3 linked regions of the Arabidopsis thaliana genome follow. The protein of the gene in region 2 interacts with the protein of the main gene of each other region in a pairwise test. Each region holds a gene or a part of one and is shown on either strand. Other genes may lie near its edges.

Region 1 (8,442 bases), 9.6 Mb from region 2:
GTCAGACCAAGAGAATGAATCTTTGGCCAAACCCATGAATGATGCTGCTGAATGGGAACATTCGTTTTCTGCCTTGCTTGAGTTTGCTGCAGACAACGATGTGGAGGGGTTTAGGCGGCAACTCTCTGATGTGTCTTGTATCAACCAGATGGGTCTTTGGTACAGACGGCAGAGGTTTGTTAGAAGAATGGTTCTTGAGCAAAGAACCCCGCTGATGGTTGCTTCGTTATATGGGAGTTTAGATGTTGTGAAGTTTATTCTTTCTTTCCCGGAAGCGGAGTTGAATCTGTCTTGTGGTCCTGATAAAAGTACTGCTCTTCATTGCGCTGCTTCTGGTGCTTCTGTGAATTCCTTGGATGTTGTCAAGTTGCTTTTGAGTGTAGGAGCAGATCCTAATATCCCTGATGCTCATGGAAATCGTCCTGTTGATGTTCTTGTTGTGTCTCCACACGCTCCTGGTTTGAGAACCATCCTTGAAGAGATCTTGAAGAAAGACGAGATTATATCTGAAGATCTGCATGCCTCGTCATCTAGCTTGGGATCAAGTTTCCGGTCTCTCTCATCATCCCCTGATAATGGTTCCTCGTTACTCTCCTTAGATTCAGTATCCTCTCCGACTAAGCCACACGGTACTGATGTAACTTTCGCATCAGAGAAGAAAGAGTACCCAATTGATCCATCATTGCCTGATATCAAAAGCGGGATTTATTCAACCGATGAGTTTCGTATGTTCTCGTTCAAGATCCGCCCATGTTCTCGAGCATATTCCCATGACTGGACTGAATGTCCATTTGCACACCCAGGTGAGAATGCAAGGAGAAGAGACCCGAGGAAGTTTCACTATACGTGTGTTCCATGCCCGGATTTTAAGAAAGGATCCTGTAAGCAAGGTGATATGTGTGAATATGCTCATGGGGTTTTTGAATGCTGGCTACACCCTGCTCAGTACAGAACACGATTGTGCAAGGACGGAATGGGTTGCAACCGAAGGGTTTGCTTCTTTGCTCACGCAAATGAGGAGTTGCGTCCCTTGTACCCTTCCACAGGATCTGGATTGCCATCTCCTCGGGCTTCGTCTGCTGTTTCCGCCTCTACTATGGACATGGCGTCAGTTTTGAACATGTTACCAGGCTCACCATCTGCTGCTCAACATTCGTTCACCCCACCAATATCTCCTTCTGGAAATGGTAGTATGCCCCATTCATCGATGGGTTGGCCTCAGCAGAACATACCGGCGTTGAATCTTCCTGGAAGCAATATCCAGTTGAGTCGTCTGAGATCTTCTCTTAACGCTAGAGATATTCCTTCTGAGCAGCTTAGCATGCTGCATGAGTTTGAAATGCAACGTCAGCTTGCTGGCGATATGCACAGTCCACGCTTTATGAATCATTCCGCTCGTCCTAAGACACTGAACCCTTCAAATCTGGAGGAACTCTTCTCAGCTGAGGTTGCATCTCCTCGTTTCTCTGATCAACTTGCTGTTTCATCTGTTCTATCGCCTTCCCACAAGTCCGCGCTTCTTAATCAGCTGCAGAATAATAAGCAGAGCATGCTTTCTCCTATCAAGACAAATCTAATGTCTTCTCCAAAGAATGTGGAGCAACATTCTCTTCTGCAGCAAGCCTCGTCACCCCGAGGCGGAGAGCCTATTTCCCCAATGAATGCTCGAATGAAACAGCAGCTACATTCACGCAGCCTAAGCTCCCGTGATTTTGGATCTAGTCTGCCCCGTGATTTAATGCCGACTGATTCTGGTTCGCCATTAAGTCCATGGTCAAGTTGGGACCAGACCCATGGAAGCAAGGTGGATTGGTCAGTCCAATCAGATGAGTTAGGTCGGTTGAGAAAATCTCATTCCTTGGCTAATAACCCAAACAGGGAAGCAGATGTTTCATGGGCTCAGCAGATGTTAAAAGACTCTTCATCACCTAGGAACGGAAACCGTGTTGTGAACATGAATGGTGCAAGGCCATTGACTCAAGGTGGTTCGAGTGTGAATCCTCACAACAGTGACACTCGTGAGAGCGACATTCTTGATGCGTGGCTTGAACAGCTGCACCTAGATCGCTGAGCCTCAGCTGCGAGAGAGAGGTTCACATTTCTGTGAAGCTGTGAAACTGATGATTCGTTTATTTATTATTCAAGAAAGCAAACGGAAACAAAAGCAAACTCCGGGTAAGCTTTTTTCGATTCTAATAACCCTAAAAGGCTCAGTTTTTTCAGGCTTCTTTCTGAAATTTCTTTACTTTCTTATTTTTATCACCTCATTAAATTAATTATTGTATCATCTCTGTTGTAACAATGGCCAAAGTGCGCCTCTATTACTTCCCGGATTTCTGATTTACATTTTTTGTATCCTCTCAGTTTGTCAATTGTTTCTAATATCTCCTTCATATTTGTCAAAGAACACTGTATGAGAAATAATAACATATTGTTTCAGCTAATAAGATTCATTCATTTCCTATTGCTTTCTCTGCTTTCCTGTTTTTTCCACTAAACTTTAACCAGCGATTCATAGACTAATAGACATTAATCTCTCAACTAACACGTTTATGGAAGTCGAGTAACTATCAAGTAAAGTGGTGGTCTCACTTTGAAACAGTAAAGTTAGAAATCAAACAAAATTGACGCAAGTTAAGATTGCTTACACTTCAAAATGTGTGTGAGTGAGAATAAAAATTGCAGAAAAACTCTGCTCAATCCTTATAACCCTGATTTCAATCCTTCTCAAATCTGAATCTCAAAGCCGTTCTAAGAGATTATATATATAAGTAAGGAAAAGAATGGGAAGATTGGTGTATGGTGGTCCTCACCACAAGCCAATGAACTTCCACCAGGCACCACCTACACCAAGCCAGATGAGAATGTTGACTATTGAAATCAGGAATCCATAGCCCCACCATTTAGCCAGCGGCACGTAGTTAGCTCCGTAGAAGATAGGCGCAGACCCGATACCATAATGGGTCAATCCTCCCATCAGGTTGGAAAGGAACGCAAGAACCAAGGCTGCAAAGTAAGGTGGAGTGCCTAGAGCGGTTGAAACCGATAAAAAGGCAGTGAACATAGCACCAATGTGGGCAGCTCCACTAGCAAAGAAGTAGTGAGTGTAGAAATACAAGAGGACGAGGATTCCAAAAGATAGCTGCCATGACAAACCCAATCCTCCCACAAACTGCAATCAAAACCCAAACAATGTCAAAACATTTCATTAGCATGCTAAGTCATTAGGCTTATTAAGCATTCATCAAATCATTTAACAAACCTTGACTACGGTCTGGCTGAACCACTCAATGAGACCATATTTGTTAAGATAACCAGCCATCGCAATGAGAGCAGCGAACCAGGTGAGTGTGTCCCATGCGACCGACTCAGCTAAGCACTCTTTCCATGTCACAACACCTGTCACAAGAAGGACTGATAATCCAAGAATGGCTGCAGTCACAGCATCTACACCCAACTTAGCTCCAAAGATCCAGAGACCAACCTGTGTCAAGGAGAACACTTTTTTAGAAAAGGAAAACCTTCTCTGTAATAAAACACCAAAACCACAAACATTTTCACTCAAAGCAAATGCATTAAACAGAAGCAAAGCCCTAGCTTAATCTAAGGAGCTACAATAGCTAAAATCTCTCAATGTTCAATACTGAAGCACCTTTCAAATCAAGCTCTCACCATAAGTAAGAACAGATCCGATGAAGCAGAAGCACACTTACCGTGAGGAATAAAGTGGCAGCCATAATCAATTCGTTCTTAGACATAGGTCCCATCTTGTCAAGCTTTTCCTGAGCCAGCTTAGGAGCATCAGGACTGCTCTTCACCGTAGGAGGATAGATGAGATACAAAAGAAACGGAACAACAATCAAAGACACAAGTCCTGGTACAATCGCAGCTTTAGCCCAATCAGTCCATCCAATCGTCTGCTTAATCGTGTTAAACGCCAAATTAGCACTCAAAGGATTCGCAGCCATAGCCGTCAAGAACATAGAAGAAGAGATCACAGAAGTCTGGAAACAAGTAAGCATCAACCACGAGCCAAGACGGTGCTCTGTTCCATCCCCAACGTTACTCCCACAAGCAACACAGAGAGATTTCACCAACGGGAGAAAGATTCCACCGGCACGAGCCGAGACAGAAGGAATCGCCGGAGCTAAAAGAGCTTCACTGAAGACGAGACTGTAACCGAGACCAAGGGAGGAGCTACCGAAGAGTCTAACGAACTGGTAAGCTACACGGTTACCGAGACCGGTTTTGATGAAACCGCGAGCGAAGAAGAAGGCAAGAGCGATGAGCCACGGGATTGGATCTCCGAAAGCGGAGAACGCGGCGGCGAACGTTAGGGTTTTGGTGAGAACGGAAGCTCCTAATCCCATTAGAGCAACAGCACCGAGAGGAAGCGGCTGAGTGATGATCCCGACGATGGTGGCGAGGAAGATCGCGAGTAATTGCCACGCGTTGCGAGTGACACCTTCGGGGACTGGAACGAACCATAGAATCAAACCAGTAGCGATCGAAGCGAGAAGAGGCTTAATGGCAGCTCCTTGCCATGGAACCGGAGCTGGAACCAAAGGAGGAGTTGGAGAAGAGGAAGCTGAAGCGACGGTGGAAGAGGCTTTAACGAGAGTTGATGATCTCCGGCGTAAAGAGACGGGAAGTGGAGATTTGAGTAAGGAGAAGCGAGAATCGAGAGATCGGAGAGGTTTCGTCAAATTGAGAGAGGAAGAAGGAGGACGAGGGAGAGAGAGAGATCGAGATTTGAGAGGGAAAGCGAGAGAGCAGGAGCCGGAGAGAGCGAGAGACGCCATGGTTGTAGCGTCGTCGGCGAGAGAGAGGTGTGAAGAGGAGAGGGAAGTGAAGAAGGAAATGAGTAAGAAGAGGAAAGAGAGAGTTGGATAAATGTTGACCGTTGGATTGGAATCGGACGGTGAGATTAAGAAAAGGAATATACGGACAAGAGTGAGAGAGAGTGATGATGAGATGAGATCGTGAGGTGAGAAATAGAGATCTCCGTCTTTGGTGGGTCAGTCACCTCATCCTATTGGCTGAAATATTTACGAAAAGCCATTTTGGGTTTGGGTTTGGTCTTTTTAGATCGACGAAACATACAAAGCAAAATCCTTCACTCAACAAATTTTCTATTGATTTATTAGCTTTGTTTTTTGGTTTTGAAAGATCTTAAACTATGCGTTTACTAGTGGATCGTCCAATGAAAGATTAACTGGCAATAGAATAGTAGCTTTCATTACATTGTCCAAGATGGGCCGAGATGGCTTCGCTTGGAATTAAATCTAGTGTAAACCCTTAAGCGGCCTCTCGTTTTTTTTTCTTTGAGTGTTATATGGTTCATAGTTTTGATTTGTTTGTTTAGAGTAAGGTGTGACATCAAATATTGAATACATGATTCTTTTATGTAAGAGGATACTTTCTAATGTGAATGTCTAAGAAAGTTACCAAATGTTTTAAAGTACATTCAATAAAACAAAATGTTCAGTTTTATCCAAAGATATAACATCAGAAAAACTTTCATTTAATTAGTTCAATCTTCTCCATTGCTACTTGATTACAAAATTCTTCAAGTGTTTGCCCCTGTTATATTAAAGAATGTATGTGCTTATTATTTCTTTTATTTATTTATTATAGGATATATGTTTTACATTGACTAATCATTACATGGCACCTCAAGGCTCAAGCCCTAGTACGAAAAGATTATTCGAAATACAAAATACTCTCTAACAATGTATATATATTTGCATTTATGTGTGTGTGGCTAAGAATCTTGAGTATAAACCGCAATAGAAAAAAGAATAAGATGACGTAAAAATATTCATATGCTTTGTTTGAAGTTGAAGTAAAACGAAGGAACCTCAGTGTTCATCAACTGGTCAAGGTCCCAAAATTCTTCCACTGGTCTCATACCCTCAGGTGCGTTTCCGGATCCATTAGTGTTCAACTCGTCTAAGTGGTTGTTTATATTTGCATTGTACCAATCACCTTCTTCACATTCCAAAGGTGGGAAGTAGAGTTCCCCTTGTACCCCTGCGTTTACTCCATAGATACCATCTACATAAGGGGTAAAATCGTCATTGCACGGGTGGCTGATCATGTTTCCCGTTGGAAATGGATTGTTGGTTTGTATGTGGGTCAAGGAAGGGTTGACGAAGCCTTGTTCTTGTAAGGACATGAAGCTTCCTATAATGTCTTTAATATCCAAAGAAGATGCGGAATTAGAAGAGGAATCGCTTGCTGTGTTGGGTGATGAGGATGAGTTGTTGATTAAGTTGGAGGTATCGGACATCTTCTTTAGCCTTTTCTTTATTGTTGAGTTCCAGAAATTCTTGATCTCGTTATCGGTCCGACCAGGCAATCGTGCTGCAATCTGAGACCACCTATGAAATCGAAGAATAAGAGAGTAGAATAGTTTAATGAGATGATGTTATGTAAAATGTATACCAGTGCATGGTTTGCATGGGAATTAGAGAGTGATCCGTTCTTCATGTTTTTTATGTTTGAGTACGTGAAAAAGAGGCAATATATCAACAATTATAAAATTGCACAATCATATTAAGCAATAAAATGACATTATACACACTGCGTGTTTTGAATTGAATCTATATATATATATATATATATATATATATATATATATATATATATAAATAGAGAGGAAACATGTCCTGCGTAAAAAACACTAGAACGTATATTTCTGGAGAAAGTGACAAAAAAAGGAACTAATAAATATATAATTACAAAGATGAAAGTTGAAGTAAAACCCTAAGGAAGAGAAGAAAAGGTGTGTAAAGTGACAAAAGCCGCTTTCACTAAAATAAGTGTTTGTTGTTAGATAAGATCATAAGACGCACTCTAAGTCTTAAAACCCACGATCAACGAACTTTGACCACTCACATAATTACATGTGAATGTACTCATACCTATTTTGGTTTTATGCGTCTATTTCCATTCTTACTACTATTATTCTAATTCAACTTTCTTTTGGGTCAATTTTCTTCGTACACAATCATTCTTCCCTTTGAATTTAAACAGTTACTAATCGTACCAATGAAAACTCGACCAAACTTTATCCTTCCACGTAAGTTTGATTATACATTTTACGATGTTAACGTATCTTATATATATAGTATTACTTTTTACTGATTAATGTAATAGTATAATTGAAAACTCGTCCTTAAAACAAACATAGATATTATACCTCTAAATAGATAGCTCTGCACTTCTTATTTATTTGGTAGAAAAAAAAAATCAAATAAAATATGGTGAAAACGTTATCAAGATCTAATTTGACAATTTGGTCGTTTTAGGGTGGACTTTTTTTTTAAAATCAGTTGACTGGCTTTTCTATGCTTTAACTTTGTACCCATTAACCGAAAACAAATTAAGCTACACAAGTTTAAAAACAAGACTCACCAGACAAAAGCTAGTTTGCCAGAACATTTATATTTATCTTCCGGCCACTAGTTTCCATATTTTATTCTATCTCTTAGTTGTTGTTATTATGTCAAAACCAAAATGATGGTAAAAATGTAAACCTGTTGCCGAGGATGGAATGAAAGCGAATGATGAGATCCTCTTCTTGAGGAGAGAAAGCGCCACGCTTGAGGTCAGGACGAAGATAGTTGATCCAACGAAGACGGCAGCTTTTGCCACATCTTTGAAGTCCTGCGTTTTTCGCAACATCACTCCAACATCCTTGTCCATTGCTTAACATGTATTGCATCAGCTTTGAGTCTTCCTCAGGAGACCAAAGTCCCTTCTTCATCTTCTTTACTTGGTGAGTACTAGCTGCAATGGCTACCTCTGGCTTCCTCATATTTTTGGTTGAGTTAATTGTTATTATTTCTCTTCAATTTGTTTGTCTTTCTCAAGGATCCATTGATGTGAACGAGTGAAGTTTGTTTTATAATAGAGAGAGAAAAGAGAGAAGACTTGATGAAGGGAGAATGATGATGATGAGAAAGGGATGGTTGTATGGTTTGCTTACAATTCTGGGAAGAAAAACCATTTGCACTTCTTCCTTTTTAATCTCTATTCCTTAATTATATTTTTATTGTATATATTATATTTATAATATAGTGTTGCTTTGTTTTAAAACATAAAAGAAAAACATCCGAACCCTGGCTCTTTTTCAAATTAAACACATTTTTTTTGTCGGCATATATTGTGTAAGGTAAATAAAATAAAATACACCAACAACAAATGTATGTTTTGTATATAACTAATTTGACGAAATGAAGAAACGTTAGTTGATCGGTCATGGACGAAAACGGTTTTGAAAAAGACCCGATATGCAAAACATCAAAGAAAAAAAGGAGAAGTGCTCTTCACTTGTTCTTAATTTTATTTTCTTCTTTTCTTGTTCTTTTTGAATATATAACTCATTTCTATTAGTTTCTTCATTCACAAGGTATACATTACAGACATATCTAATTC
Region 2 (8,887 bases):
ATCCCAAAGAAAGTTGGAAGCTCTTTGAGAGGATAGTCCCTAGAAGAAATGAAACTGGTACACTTTCAAATTTAAAATTAAGATCAAGAATCTAGGAAATTTTATTTTTCAGCCAACATGTTGAAATGTATTACCTTGTGATACTATGCAGAATATGAAGAAATGGAAGCCATCGGAAAGGAAATGGTCACATATTGTGGAGGACTACCATTAGCTGTTAAAGTTTTGGGAGGCTTGTTAGCTAATAAACATACAGCTAGTGAGTGGAAAAGAGTTAGTGAGAATATCGGAGCTCAAATCGTAGGAAAATCGTGCTTAGATGACAACAGTCTCAATTCGGTTTACCGAATATTGTCTTTGAGTTATGAAGATTTGCCAACGGATTTAAAGCATTGTTTCCTTTACCTAGCCCATTTCCCTGAAGATTACAAGATAAAGACACGGACATTGTACAGTTACTGGGCCGCAGAGGGAATTTACGATGGATTAACCATCCTTGATAGTGGAGAAGACTACCTAGAAGAACTAGTGAGGAGAAATTTGGTTATTGCTGAAAAGAGCAATTTGAGTTGGAGACTTAAACTTTGTCAAATGCATGACATGATGAGGGAAGTATGTATATCTAAAGCCAAAGTAGAGAACTTCCTCCAAATTATCAAAGTCCCTACTTCCACCTCTACCATCATTGCTCAATCTCCTAGTAGATCTCGAAGACTCACCGTACATAGTGGTAAAGCCTTTCATATACTAGGACACAAAAAAAAGGTCAGATCTCTTTTAGTTTTGGGACTCAAGGAAGATCTTTGGATACAATCAGCTTCACGCTTCCAAAGCTTACCATTGCTCAGGGTGTTGGATCTGTCTTCGGTAAAATTTGAAGGAGGGAAGTTACCTTCTAGCATTGGAGGGCTCATCCATTTGAGATTCTTGAGCTTACACCAAGCTGTGGTATCTCATCTACCTTCTACTATTCGGAATTTAAAGCTTATGCTCTATTTGAACTTACATGTTGCTATCGGGGTGCCGGTTCACGTGCCAAATGTTTTGAAAGAGATGCTAGAGTTGAGGTACCTTTCCCTACCTCTGGATATGCATGATAAAACCAAGTTGGAATTGGGTGATCTAGTGAACCTGGAGTACTTGTGGTGTTTCTCAACGCAACACAGTAGTGTGACAGACCTCCTCCGTATGACCAAGCTCAGGTTTTTCGGTGTATCTTTTAGTGAAAGGTGTACTTTTGAAAATCTATCTTCATCTCTCCGTCAATTTCGAAAGCTGGAGACACTTAGTTTCATTTATTCGCGCAAAACCTATATGGTTGATTATGTGGGAGAATTCGTTCTGGATTTTATTCATCTAAAGAAGTTAAGTTTGGGAGTACATTTGTCAAAGATTCCTGATCAACATCAATTACCTCCCCACATTGCACACATATATTTATTGTTTTGCCACATGGAGGAGGATCCAATGCCAATTCTAGAAAAGTTGCTTCATCTGAAGTCGGTTGAATTAAGACGCAAGGCTTTCATAGGGAGGAGAATGGTGTGCTCAAAAGGCGGGTTTCCTCAATTACGTGCTCTACAAATATCTGAACAATCGGAGTTGGAAGAGTGGATAGTAGAAGAAGGGTCGATGCCATGTCTTCGTGATTTAATTATACATAGTTGCGAAAAGTTGGAGGAACTTCCTGACGGACTCAAGTATGTAACATCCTTAAAGGAACTGAAGATTGAAGGAATGAAGAGGGAGTGGAAGGAGAAATTGGTTGGAGAAGATTACTACAAAGTCCAACACATTCCCGATGTTCAATTTTTCAACTGTGACGACGAACAAAGAGAATAACCAGTAGCAGGTAAAAAATAAACGGTATAATAATGTTCACTTTTCAAAGTCATGTGGACAGTCTCAACTTTTATACATTGTTCTAAAATCGATCATCTTTTAAATAGATGCAGGAAAGAACAAGAAGCTAGTCAAATTCTCTTATATTGGGAGAGATAGAGGCTGCTTCACAAGAGTCATCTACTGATAAATCTCTGGAATACAGATTCTGAAGTACTACTGATTACGTTGGAGCTCTCGCTTTCAGTGCATCGTTATGTTGTGGCTCAGAACTATATGCTTTTTATTGATGTTTGTTTTCGGTGTGGATGCATGGAACGTGCTTGAGAACTCTTTCATAAAATTGAGAAACGAACCTTGTTTTTTTTGTAGTTCATTGTAAAAATTGGATATTTATGTTTATACGAATTTGTTTTGTTTTCTCGTTTGTGATTTAACACAGTTAGCTAGCTTTTGTAAGCTTTATTTACATCAAATCTGGTTAGATTTGTTTTTTATCACATTTAGGCTTAAGTTTTGTTAGTTTTGCACCTCTTTTACTGTGTACGCATAGTGAAGTCATGGTTGAACCAAGACGAGCAAAACTGATGTACAATAAACAAAACAATCTCATTTTGTACAAGTTTTTTGTTTCATTTTAATTTCTTTTATCAGTACTGTGTGATATTTGCACTCGTGACTTAGACTTGGGTCGTTGAGGGATTAGTCGATTTCTTGTTCAGGAACAACATAAGATTGTCAGAACAAAACACCAGTTTTTGTACTTTTGTTTTTAAATCTTGTTTCAACTTCAGACAGACCCCCTTATTCTATGGCTTTAGTATATTTGTTTACTTTTGAACAATGTTCAAAAAAGTGTTAGGCGATAAACGGGCGATGACCCAACGCCTAGCGTTTAGAACGCTTAGTCGGGGTTTAAGTGATTTTAGGTGGTTTATCCGTTTATGACATAAAACATTTTAAATATGATATTATAGATAAAAATCATATAAAACTATATATTAGAAAATATTAATCGGATCCTAATCAAAAATTAGATAAAAATGTTTCTTTAATTTATATCAACAATATATGAATGTTTATAACCATGTGTAGAAGTAAAACTTATAAAATTTAAGCAATATTAGTTAAAAATAAAAAAAATATACTAAAACGAAATTTATGTTATTTTAGGCAGTCGAGATGATTATTTAGGCGTCAACTGAACGCTTAGCGGCATATAAACGACCGTCTAGACCGCTTTTTACAACACTGCTTTTGAATCTTTCAAACTTCATCCAAAAACAAAACTAAAGCTTCTGGAACATGTGAAACCTTGTCAAGAAACTCTAGTTTTGAACTCATAAAACCTAGTTAAGAAGTTTTTTTTTTTTGTCGGCACCTAGTAAAGAAGTTATACCACAGCATTCTTTTTTTACTTTTTTTCTTTAATACAAGATGCAATTAAACAAAATGTTCCTCTAACTATAATAATGTAGAAAAATACGTGTACGCTAGGAAATTTCTCGACCCGCGCAAAAGAGGGTCCTAGAAGTTTCAACTTTCGACACGTGGCTCCTTCTCAGTCTCTCTTATTAAAGTCTTTAAATTATATAATCACCAAAGGCAATTAATGGAATTAATTTACTTTGAGGACTAATATTCCATCTGATTTCCCAAGATAAAACATAAAGTCCTTATTACTTAATTATGAATGTAATTATTGGATTACATGTAATTAATCACCACTTTATAAAACTGAACAAAAATAGTAACGAATATAAAGAGTTTAATAATGATTTTTGGGTCATTTTCCTTCACCAAATTTTTAATTCCGCATAAAGTAAAATATCCTGAAAACAGAAAAATTCAGTGTTTTCGGATTCTCCTTTAAAAACGACAAAAGCATCTACAGAGAAATCTGACCGCAATAATGGCGAATAACGAAGATTCAAACTCCAATGGACTAGACTCGTTTGATGCTGTTAAACAACGTTTCAAAGATCGATCAAAGGTACAACATCAGATTCGATTTTCACCATTTTTGATGTTTCTCTTTTGTTCCAATTTTGTTGATTTTGACTTTGTGGACCAATTGTTTTTGATTTTGACAGAAAGTTGTTCAGACGAGAGAGTTGTTGTCTAAACAAGCGGTACAAACGCGTGAGATCTTATCGAAACAAGCCGTTAAGATCGCTAAACAAGCCGAAGAACATGAGAGATTCATCAATAAGGTTAGGTTTCTCTCTTGATTCTTCAATCATGTTTTGATTTTAAGTTACTTTGGTTTGAAAATGTTTGGTTCTGTAATGTTTTAAAGGTGACACATCTCGTTGGTGTGCTTGGATTTGGAGGTTTTTGTTTCCTACTTGGTGCAAGTGAGTTCAAAGAAATTGTGTTTTTTTTTTGTTTTTTTTGTGTTTTGTTCTTAATTCAATGTTGTTGATGTTGATGATGTTTTCGTTTTCAGGACCTCAAGACATTCCTTTAGTTTACTGTTTCTTCTATGTGATCTTTGTTCCTCTTCGATGGATATATTACCGGTTTAAGAAATGGCATTATTATCTTCTGGTAATGTCTCTTTTGAGGATTTGGAATTAAGAAACAGTCGTTTTGATTGTTATTGAAACAATTTTTGTGTATGTGATAGGACTTTTGCTACTATGCCAATACAATCTTCTTGGTTGATCTTCTTCTGTATCCTAAGAATGAAAAGCTTTTCATGGTTTGCTTTTCCTTTGCTGAGGTATGCTTTTTAACTACATGTATGTATATGAGTCTTTTGTGTCATTGTGTGTGCTGATTTATTTTATTGGTTGTGTCTTGTGCTGCAGGGACCATTGGCGTGGGCGATTATTGTCTGGCGTTGCAGTCTGGTTTTTAGTTCGCCGGATAAGATTGTTAGTGTTCTTATACATCTCTTACCTGGTGAGTTCTATAATCTTCTTGTTGACAGAAGAAGATATGTTATTGATTCATATTGCTAAAGTTGACGGCTTTGATTAAAGTAGTTGTATGAATTCTTAGCTTGTTGTTCCCCTCTCAACCGTTTTTAATTCAAACACATGGTTCCTTGTTGTAATGCATATGATAGATATAGTTAAGCTTTATGCTCTCTCTCTCCATTGTTTCTTTATTATTGTAATGAATTTTGGTTTCAGGGCTCGTGTTTTTCACGATTAGGTGGTGGAATCCAGCGACTTTTGCAGCTATGCACCCTGTAGGCACTGATCGTAGGGTTTCATGGCCTTATGTTGAAGACAAAGCTTACCTATTCACATGGCTGTTTCTCGTCCCCTTAGTCGTTTATACTCTTTGGCAAGTGCTCTATTTTCTAATCGTCAATGTCCTGCGTAGGCAGAGACTCCTTAGAGATCCTGAAGTTATGACTTCTTACAGGTATCTCTTGTCTACGCCGTATGTTAATGTTCTCCTCATATTGATCGCTAAGGTCACAGCATAATGTAATGTGTTCTTACCATAGAGTGAACACTTGTATTGATGGAATCCTTTGGTATGTGCAGAGAGCTGTCGAAGAAAGCTGAAAAGGCAAACAATAAGTTGTGGCAGCTGAGCGGTCTGCTAGGGGATCAGAATCGTATATGGATGTACATCCTATTCCAGGCCATCTTCACGGTGGCAACCATGGCATTGACCGTACCGATCTTCCTATCTTATAGACTTCATGTGATCTTTCAGATCCTAAAGATTTCTGCGGCTGTGTGGAACGGAGGGAGCTTTTTACTAGAGGTAATGCCACGGCAAGTGATCCAGAAAGAGAAGAAGAAGAAAGCTGAGATGCAGCCGATAGAGGAGCAGATACTACATCATGAAGCTGTGTCACATCCGACTGAGAATGAGCCAAAATCTACTGAAACATGATCATGGTTCTAACAAAAAGGTACATGTAAAATAAAGTTTTCAAAGGTGAATCATGATTGGTGTTTTTTTTGTTCCTCATGTTTTGTTCTATAACTGTTTGTTTCTCTTGTTGCTATACATCATTCTAAAAGCTTAATGTATGTGAATGATCTTGTAGTTTATTTTTTCTAAAGAAACTTGTTATTTACTCTTTAGCCAAAGTTTTGATCCTGTTTCGCTAGGACATTCTGGCCTTAAAATTGCATTATGAGAGATTTAACTATATTTTTAACGCGTTTTCGAGAAAGGAAAATCTTCGGATTTCAGCGAAGTAGATTGGGATAAGTTCTCCTTGAGACGCGGATTTTGTTTTCTGTTTCTGCTGTACAAAACAACCATCACTAAAGATCATAACATTCATGTGTTTGATAGTGCATAGTTCTCGAACATGTCGTTACCAGCCGCGGAATAAGCTTAATAAGTATGCCGATAGCATTATGAAATCCATCATGTCCGATACGACTATTGTTCAGTGGAGATGAAGCTTAATAACTTGAGTTCCGCCAAAGAATTCACTCAAAAATCGACCATGAAGAGGATTTTGATCGATGCAAATCGCCCCTGTAACGAGCTGATTTGGAAGAAGACTCAAGAACCACCAATTTGCACCGTACGGTCAAATTGAGTCAAACCAAACCGAAGAGCCCCCTGATGTACTTGAAGACTTTCTGCTGATTATATTCACCCTCATGAAAAGACTACACGACGTTTAGAAGCTGCGACTTTAACTTAGCTCTCGACGCCATCACCGAAGATCCTCCATTATAGCCTAACGGCTAGAATCATCACGCTCCTCTCTTTATTTCGCATTATTCGGTTTCCTTTTCTAAGTTTTAGACCATTGTTGTACTTTTCAATTTAAGCTCTTTGATTCTCTACTTTGTATTCACGCTTTGATCAATTGAAATTCAGTTTGTTTCTTGCTTCAATACTTTGTATCTTGAATCAAATCTGTTCTTGCGAGTTCTAGGTTGTTTGTAGAATCAAATACTTCTCATCTAAAAGCTTCCATCGCTCGCTTCTAAGCATTGGACCCGTGAGCCTTGTCTTGGTGGAATCCAGGACGTGTAGTCGTGTATCACATGAAATGAATGGAATAAGATTTTGATTATATAATCTACAAAGTAGGTCGCATTAAGATACATGCCAAATACCGCACTGAACAGAGAAAGAAAACAGAAAATCAATGTAAATATTGTTGGTGTGTCCTTGACTACAATGTTTTTTGAAAAATTATCTTGATCATGTGTTTTGTCAGGTCCGAGTTGTCCATGATATCAATATTCATGATGGTAATCGATCAACCTTTGAGAGTATAGTAACAACACTTGGCATATTTCTCACTTACGCTAGTCTCATTTTTTGTTCATTCAATGAAAAAACTTAATTTTATGAATAAAATTTCTCGAAATGCGCTTAAGACCTTGACAGTACGACAATCTATATTTACTAAACTGAGAAAAAATTGCCAACGCTGTTAAGGAGGTTGAGGTTGGACATGGGTGGTGGCCGGAACCAGCAAAACTGATCCACTAGCACGGCGAATACAAGACCTTTTTTTTGTGACACTATCAATGGGTTCGAGTTGACTATTCGGTTTCCGTCTCTGAGCCGATTCTAGCGACTTGCTTGATCCGCAATAAATCTCCCAAAATGCTAATTAACATTTTTAGATTCTAATATTTTGTTATAAGCTTTTGAGACTGTACACATGAGATTTTAAACGACCAAAGCTATCTCGCTAATTAACATTATTATAGATTCTAGTTATTTTTTATATTAAGATTTTTGTATAAAGGAAAAAAGTAACATATGAAATAAGAAAATATATGGATTTTGGAAAATATTTCTGAATCTTATTATATAAAATATGGTTTTCAAAATTAATAACTCATAGGATTGTGCCACGTGTCAAATTTATTGATCAGATATTGACATGTGTCAGAAGAGATTTAACTTTTGTTTTTCTTAGAAAAATAGAAAAACAAAAAATGAAACAAATCTAAATATACTAATTTATATGTCCATATATAAAATAAAATAATAATTTTTTTTCCTAAATGAAAAAGAAAAATTAACAAATTTAGTTATCAATGTGTTATTGGTCATTTCAATTTAGCATGTAATTTTAAAAAAAAAAATCATTTACGATGGATAATAATACTAATTAAAAAGGCCCTTAAAGTTTAAAATAACAATATAATTTATTTAACATTAATTTAAGAGCCCCTTAATTTAATTGGCTATAAAAAAACAAAAAAGCGAAACAAGTCTACATATACTAACTTATATGTCTATATCTAAAAGAACAAAAATTATTAACAAAAAGGAAAATTAACAAAATTCTTTTTACATTTGTTTTGGTCAATTAAATTAGCATGTAATTTATTTTTAAAAATTATTTAGTATAGATAATTATACTAATCAAAAAGCCCAGAAGTTTAAAATAACAATATAATTTATTTAACATTAATTTAATTGGATAATATTGTATTTATCTTTGTACTATAGTGTTTTTATTCGTTAAATCAAACCATAAAAACAAAAATGAAAAACTTAATGAGGTTATAATAATAATGTTATGAATACTTATGTTTTATTCTAAGAATTTTAACACATCATGTGATGGAGAAACTTGCATCCTTTCATGTGGTACAGCAAGCTTATACTTATATTTTATTCTAAAAAATTTAACGCATGTAGTCGTAAGTGAAAACATAACATTTTTGAAATAAATAGCTTATAATATTTGAGTTTTCAATTACTTAATGAGAGTTAGTTTATTTTTTACTCATTTCAAATTATTTTGTATGAGGTAAAATAAACTTACGAGATTATGATATACAAAAATAATAATTTAAACAATGTTTGTTTTCCAAATTATTTTGTGGATTTCTATATTTTTTTATTAATGTTAATTGTTAATTATTTTGAATACTAAGTAATATTTATATTTGATCTGATATAAATATTATTTTGATATGAAATTGTTATCACTTAAGATGAAATGTGTAGAATTAAAATGAGTTTATTGTGATGAAATGGATTGTTAAAGTGTATTGCAAAATTGAATGTGCAAGATAGAATTTTTCTTTTTCATAAATACTAAATTAATAACTATTTAGAATTCAAATATTATCAATAA
Region 3 (6,672 bases), 7.1 Mb from region 2:
TCCATTTTGTGGATTTCATTTGCTTTGTTTTCTTTTATATAATACGATCTGAGACAAGAAAAAAGAAGAGAGAAATATAAAAAAGTGTGTGGAGAGATATAAATTGAGAGGAGTAAATTGGGAATGGTGCGGACATTAGGACGTAAACTAAGCTGGCCAAGATCTTTTAGTTTTAGAAAGATGTTCGATGGTCGGAACTCTGGACATTCATCTTTCTCTTCTCGTGGGGATGGCATGCATACACCCGAGCACGAACTCGCCGGACATGCTGCACCATCCACTCGTAGAGGCAAGCAAAATAGGAGATCAGGTAACATATTAGTGCAAGTTTATTTGGTAAATGGTAATGGCAAAATTTTAATTTAATGGAAATGAAAATTTTATTTCGAGATAATATAATGGTAGAAAGAAAACTTTAGGTGAAAGAATTTCTAAAAAATATCCATTTCATATTTTCGTAAATATATCCATTGCACCAATAATTAATTAATGCTCCAATTAATGATAATGTAGAATCTCTAAATCATTTATTACCCGCTTATATATATTGACCGAAATAAGAAGTCCTCATTTTATAAATTATATATAGACAGGAAAATGATATTATTGCACGGAAAAAAATTATGTGATCCGCAATAATTAATTATTGCTAAATTTGATAACCACATAAACGAATAAAATGTTATCCCAAAACCACAATGAATTAGATGTATTAATATCTTCATTAGATGTATTGTATATAGCATAATGAATTGCATTTAGATTGCATTTGTGTAAGATGCATGGGTTGGATCTGAAAATCAATTGGTAAGAGTAGAATTACCAATATCGTTGTATAAAGATGAGTTCTTTAACTAATATTTATATATTTTTGATAACTATTTAATTAATATTATTCTATGTTGGATTCCTTACATAATCTTTGTATTGATATCTGTTTCAGACATGGAAGTGATGAAGGAAAGATTCGCAAAACTGCTTCTTGGAGAGGACATGTCAGGCGGTGGGACAGGGGAGACCTCTGCGTTAGCTTTGTCAAACGCCATCACCAAACTCGCTGGTAAACCTTTAACACTACTAATATGATTAAAACATTAAATGTCTAATAACGATTTGAATGGTTAAAATAAGTCACAAACTAATTAATGTGGCTTTGGTATTGGCATGCAGATTCGATGTTTGGAGAGCAGATGAAATTGCAGCCTATGTATCCGGAGACAAAAGAGAATTGGAGGAAAGAAATGGGTTGGTTATTATCTGTGATTGATCACATTGTCCAGTTTGTTCCTTCTAGACAAATGGGTAAAAATGGCCAATTCACTGAGGTGAATGCATGCAACTGTTAGTCATTAATTACGTACATATATAACAACTACTAGTCTACTAGTGACGATTTTTCTTATTAACCCTAATTTTCTCCTTTGTAGATCATGGTTACAAAACAAAGAGATGATTTGCTGACGAACATTCCAGCTTTACGCAAACTTGACTCGGTTCTTCTCGTGAGTTTAATTACTACTTGATTGTTTCAACCGCGGTTTCAACGTTTGGGAAAAATTAAACCATTATATTATATCAAACACCACATCGTTTCAAAAATATTTTGTTTGCAACAATATCCATGACACTAGGACAAACTACTATATATACTACAAGTCATAGTCATCTTTGCAAATTATAAAGATAAATATAACTGAAAACGTCATAACACCAAGAGTACCATCTCATTAATTAATTTCATATAGGAGTGCATGTATTATAAAATGATCATGATATATATATATAACAAACAAAAATAGATGAGTTGTGACCATTTATCATACTAATGCAATTACTCATTTGGCAGGAAACTTTGGACAACTTCAAGGATCAGAAAGACTTTTGGTATGTGCCAAGAGATATGGAGGATGCAGATCACAATGGAGATTGGAGGAGGGATGAGAACTGGTGGTTACCAGTTGTTAAGGTTCCAACAGATGGCTTGTCTGAGGAATCACGTAGATGGTTGCAGAATCAGAAAGATTCTGTGGCTCAAGTCCTTAAAGCCGCCACGGCCATCAATGCTCATGTATTGTCTGAAATGCACGTTCCTGAAAACTACATTGATTCCCTTCCAAAGGTTACTTACTTCTTCTTCAAAAGTGTTCTGTTTCTTTACAATTTCCACTAAGCTAGGAAGCTGATGAGGCTGTTGGTTATGTAGAATGGGAAGACAAGCTTGGGAGATTTTCTTTACAAGAGCATAACAGAGGAGAGCTTTGATCCTGACTACTTTGTCTCTTTCTTGGATTTGTCAACGGAACACAAAGTACTTGATCTAAAGAACAGGATTGAAGCTTCCATGGTGATCTGGAAGAGGAAGATGTGCCAGAAAGAGAAAGACGGGAAATCTCAGTGGGGATCCACTGTTAGCTTAGAGAAGAGGGAGCTTTTCGAAGTCCGAGCTGAGACCATTTTGGTTATGCTCAAACAACAATTTCCTGGGATCCCACAATCCTCCCTTGAAGTCTCCAAGATTAAAAACAACAAGGTAACATAACATAACAAAGACTAAACAAACATCAACAAAAATGTAGTGAGACTGAGTAAGAGTTTGTTGTGATTTGATCTTACAGGATGTTGGACAGGCGATTTTGGAGAGCTATTCAAGGGTACTAGAGAGTCTTGCTTCAAAGATAATGTCAAGAATAGAGGATGTTCTTGAAGCCGATCGGCTAGTTCAAAGACAGTTGATGGGAGAGGCAGAGACAAGATCAGAAAGCGAGGCAGAATCAGAATACGAGGAAACTGAAAAGGTGGTTGCAGCGGAAACACCAAACTCGAGGAAACTATCAGACTTCATAGGGTGGAGATTGTCATCTGATACTAAGAAGCATAGTTCAATGAGTGATATAGAATTCTTCCACAAAGTTGAGCAGGAGAAGGAGAAGCCCATGATGAAGTCTCCAAGAGCTCTACCGAAGAAATTTTCATATCTAGCAAAGTTAGAGAACATGAGAAGCCCTAGTGACAGACACTGATAGTGAAAAGAGAAGGTAATAGAACAGGGCATAGAAGAAGAAAAACACAAAGAGAGTGAGAGAGAGAGAATAGAAGAAGGTTAAAGTGTGTGAGAATGTACATATATAACAATGCAGGCATTGGTTTTAGGATTTGGACATGAGACTTGGTGTTTGATCATGATTGTTGCTTGTTTTGACTATTGCTTCCTGTTGTTTTTTCTAAGAAGGAAGTGTGATTCAGTGTGTAACAATATTTTGGTATTTTTGTTCTTTGGTGTTTTGTATTGTAACGTCTAATCTACAACATTGTTTCCTAATGGATTTTGAAGCTCATTGATAATGACTAGTAGTGTAGTAGTATTGTAATGAAACATTATTTGATGACGACATGTAATTTAGTGGTTTGTGATAATACCATTGATCTGTGTTTACCATCCGGACTATTCAGGTATTCGGGTCCGTTATTTGGATTTTTAAATTTTTCGGATCGGGTTTAGTTCGGTACCTTTCGGGTTCGGGTCGGTTCTGGATATCCAAATAATTCTTCTTTTTGATCTCCTTTACTCAACATTTAGTGGTTAAAACACAGAACAACGGAAAAGGCAAATCGGGATCAGCCACCGGCGATGAAGGAAGACATGGATAAGATGGTGGCGGTAGGGCTCGTATGGGGAGCCACCAATGCTCTGATCCGTCGTGGCGCTCTTGCCTGGGATAAAACAAAGTCTTCTTCGACAACAGAATCTCATTCTCCTCCTCTTCAGATCCGCCGCAAAATCATGATTGCTCTCCGCGACTGGATCAATCTCCTCCTCTTCTGGCAATACTCAATTCCTTTCCTCATAAACCTCTCCGCCTCCGCCACATTCTTCGCCCTTCTCAGTCACGCTCCCATCTCTCTTGCCGTTCCGGTGACTAACGCCACAACCTTTGCCGCAACCGCCGCTTTTGGGATCCTTTTAGGGGAAGAAACTCAAATCGGACTTGCTTTGTTAGGTACGAGCTTTATTGTATTTGGAATTTGGCTTTGTGTTCTGTGAAATTCGAATTTTGTAAAACCGTGACTCTGTTTCTGTGAGATCTATTTTGCGAAAGAACTATTTGTGTACCATCTTTTGAGAATTTTAGCTAACTCTCTGCAATATTATCGAAGGTAATTAACATTACTAGTCAATGAAACAAACAGTGACTTGCAATGAACGCATCGAATGATTTATACGCAAAACCGAACTAGTGAAGAAAGAATAGAGCCAAAAGTAATAATAAAAGAATTTCTCCAATACAAAATTTAGTCATAAAAACTCACCGAAAAGGTTTACATGAACGGAAAAGTTTATAGAAGTGAAAGAAAACACAAGTAATTTGGATCCATTAATGGTGGCATAAACAATATATATAGAAGGAAAAAAAAACTGATATTATGTGATTGTTTTATATTAAGATGTTACGGTCATAAGACAAAATGGGTAAAAATTATCGTCATTAGACGACCTGAATCCATTCTCCAGTGCTGGGAACACCTTTGTAGATGGCAAAGATAAGATAGTAACCCGGTGGAGCGATGTTTCCATTTGGTGGTGCAACGGCCTGGATATCGTAACCGGCACCAGCAGGTTTGACATTATTGACACCCAAGATGAGCATCCTCATGTTCATTGAGATACTGTGTGTTGTGAAGGCAGGGGCTAACATGGTAACCTTGAGATTTCCCTTGGTTGCTCCCTTTTCTTTAAGGTCGACCTTCACGTTGAAGAATTGTCCGTATTTGACCTGTTTTGGGGTGCCGGTGGTGACGATCTTTGGCCTTATGTTGGCTAGAGCCGGGTCGAGGTAAGGTGGGGAGAATTTCTCAACGCGAAGCTCCGTTGGGAACTCAACGTTGTACTTGTAACCGTCGTTGGTGTTGCTGCCACCGACAAGAACCTTACCGTCTGGAAGAATGATGGCGCTGGAGTGGTACATACGTGGGATGGTGGTGGGCTTGAGCTGTCTGAAACGCTTGCCACGTGCAGCATGGGGCTTGTACAAGAGGGGAGCAAAGGCAGGGTCTTTACCATATCCCCAGCCTGAACAACCACGTTTAGCTCCGTTGACTAGAAGGATGTCTCCGTTAGGGAGGATGACAGTATCACTCATGATTCGTGGGGTTGGCATCATCTCCGTCTTCCATCGTGGCTTTGCGCTGTTGATCCTTATCCTGGCGCAGTCTTGTAGTGCTGGTTCGTATATTTTTTTACCAGCCTTGTAATACGCGTCTTGTTTGGAACCACCACAGACGAGAACCTCGGCTGGGATGACCTTGGGGTTTTTCACGTAAAGTTGGATGGGGAGGAGTGCGGAAGAACCTGATCCCGGGTAGTTACGGGCACCACCTGGGAGCTGAGGGAACTCCTTGATGACTTGGTTTGTTTTGGGGCTTAGAAGGATGGATCGGTTGTTAGCGAAAATGAAGAGGTTACCGTCGGTGTTAAGCCAGACGAAAGGGTAAAGGTTGTTTTCTTCCGGGTCGTCTGTTTGCCTGAGGAGCAATGAGTCAAAGAGCTTCCTGTTGTTTTGTCCCTCCTCAGGAATGTATTCGTAGTTCAAGGCGTCTCTTCCACCAATCACGAAGAACTTTCCGTCAGGGAGAGTTGCTTGCGTTGAGTACCATCTCTTCGCGGCCAATGCCTGAGGGTATTCTTCCCACTTGCAGTTTTCACAGCTGGATAGGTACCTCGCGGTGTTGGCTCCTCCTCCGTATCCTCCAGTGCTCACCAATGTACCATTTACGGTCAGACCTCCGGATGAGCACCATGTATCGGTGGAAAGCTATCATGAAACATGTGAATGCAAATATTTAATTCAAGTTCGTATAATATGATTCTATTTAATGAGAAGAAGATAACCCGTGTCTAGGCCTAGGCCCAAAAAAAAAAAAAAAAGATGGTGTCGTGAGTTTGAACATACCCCTAGAGGCTTAAGGGCGCCGGTGTTGACATCCATGAGAATCGAATGAGCCCAACAATCGACCTTGTTAGTCTTAGCGTCCACGACATGGCATGGTACGCCTGGAGGCAACTTAATCTTTGAAATTCTCCAAATGGTGGCGTCATAGTACTGGACCTTGTTGATAACTGGCATAAGGATCGCATGCATCCCTGACACACCCGAGTTTTCCAAGAAGAGCTCCCACTTACCACCCCAGGTTGTCTGAGCGTCTAAACCGCCGCCACGCTGCCTTCTTGCGGCTTTTCCACCAACTGCTCCTGCAGGCTGTGGTTTCGCAACCTTGACAGCCTCATTGTCCCTAAAGCCGTTGTTGAACCCAGGGAGGAACGGTAGAAACGGTAGAGGGAAGATGGCCTCGGACACAGCAGCGAGCATAAGGACAGATATTGTCCATATGACTCTTGTTGAGGCTTTCATTTTCTAATTTTTTTTGATTTTTTTGTTTTCTTTTTTTTTCTTCCCCTGTTTTGGTTGGGGAAATAAGAAAATTGGATCCCAGGCTTATATTGATTGTTGTGATGCCTGAAGAACAAGCTCTTGTCTCTGCGTGATTTATAGGTGTTGTTATTTCACTTACGTTTATTATTAGCAATTGCTATTTTTAAATGTGTGGTAAGAAGACGTCTCCCCAAAACAGCCTATAGATTTGTGGAGTTTCTGTGATAGAAGAAAACATTGGTGT

What was found.
Region 1: the proteins of AT5G35460 (region 2) and DiT1 interact in a protein complementation assay, tested with the Arabidopsis thaliana proteins (one large-scale study listed by BioGRID).
Region 3: the proteins of AT5G35460 (region 2) and AT5G19570 interact in a protein complementation assay, tested with the Arabidopsis thaliana proteins (one large-scale study listed by BioGRID).

What each region holds. Positions count from the first base shown.
Region 1 is NC_003076.8:4,057,118-4,065,559, forward strand, and holds DiT1 (dicarboxylate transporter 1), read right to left. Parts: upstream 5,173-8,442; 5' UTR 4,803-5,172; coding exon 3,714-4,802; intron 3,485-3,713; coding exon 3,263-3,484; intron 3,173-3,262; coding exon 2,810-3,172; 3' UTR 2,734-2,809; coding exon of another isoform or gene 2,733-2,733; 3' UTR 2,462-2,732; downstream 1-2,461. Other genes in the region: AT5G12850 (CCCH-type zinc finger protein with ARM repeat domain-containing protein), read left to right, coding at 1-2,071; MYB46 (myb domain protein 46), read right to left, coding at 5,822-6,383, 7,542-7,822. UniProt on the Arabidopsis thaliana protein: 2-oxoglutarate/malate translocator involved with DIT2-1 in primary ammonia assimilation and in the re-assimilation of ammonia generated by the photorespiratory pathway.
Region 2 is NC_003076.8:13,668,844-13,677,730, forward strand, and holds AT5G35460 (uncharacterized protein), read left to right. Parts: upstream 1-3,645; 5' UTR 3,646-3,754; coding exon 3,755-3,835; intron 3,836-3,935; coding exon 3,936-4,055; intron 4,056-4,141; coding exon 4,142-4,199; intron 4,200-4,291; coding exon 4,292-4,392; intron 4,393-4,471; coding exon 4,472-4,567; intron 4,568-4,655; coding exon 4,656-4,749; intron 4,750-4,982; coding exon 4,983-5,220; intron 5,221-5,345; coding exon 5,346-5,703; 3' UTR 5,704-6,660; downstream 6,661-8,887. Other genes in the region: AT5G35450 (Disease resistance protein (CC-NBS-LRR class) family), read left to right, coding at 1-57, 152-1,842. UniProt on the Arabidopsis thaliana protein: Glycerophosphocholine acyltransferase (GPCAT) that utilizes acyl-CoA to acylate glycero-3-phosphocholine (GPC), forming lysophosphatidylcholine (LPC).
Region 3 is NC_003076.8:6,603,111-6,609,782, forward strand, and holds AT5G19570 (uncharacterized protein), read left to right. Parts: upstream 1-3,453; 5' UTR 3,454-3,628; coding exon 3,629-4,042; 3' UTR 4,043-4,211; downstream 4,212-6,672. Other genes in the region: ROPGEF10 (ROP uanine nucleotide exchange factor 10), read left to right, coding at 124-310, 944-1,060, 1,171-1,325, 1,428-1,502, 1,847-2,119, 2,204-2,530, 2,616-3,020; AT5G19580 (glyoxal oxidase-related protein), read right to left, coding at 4,485-5,810, 5,949-6,407.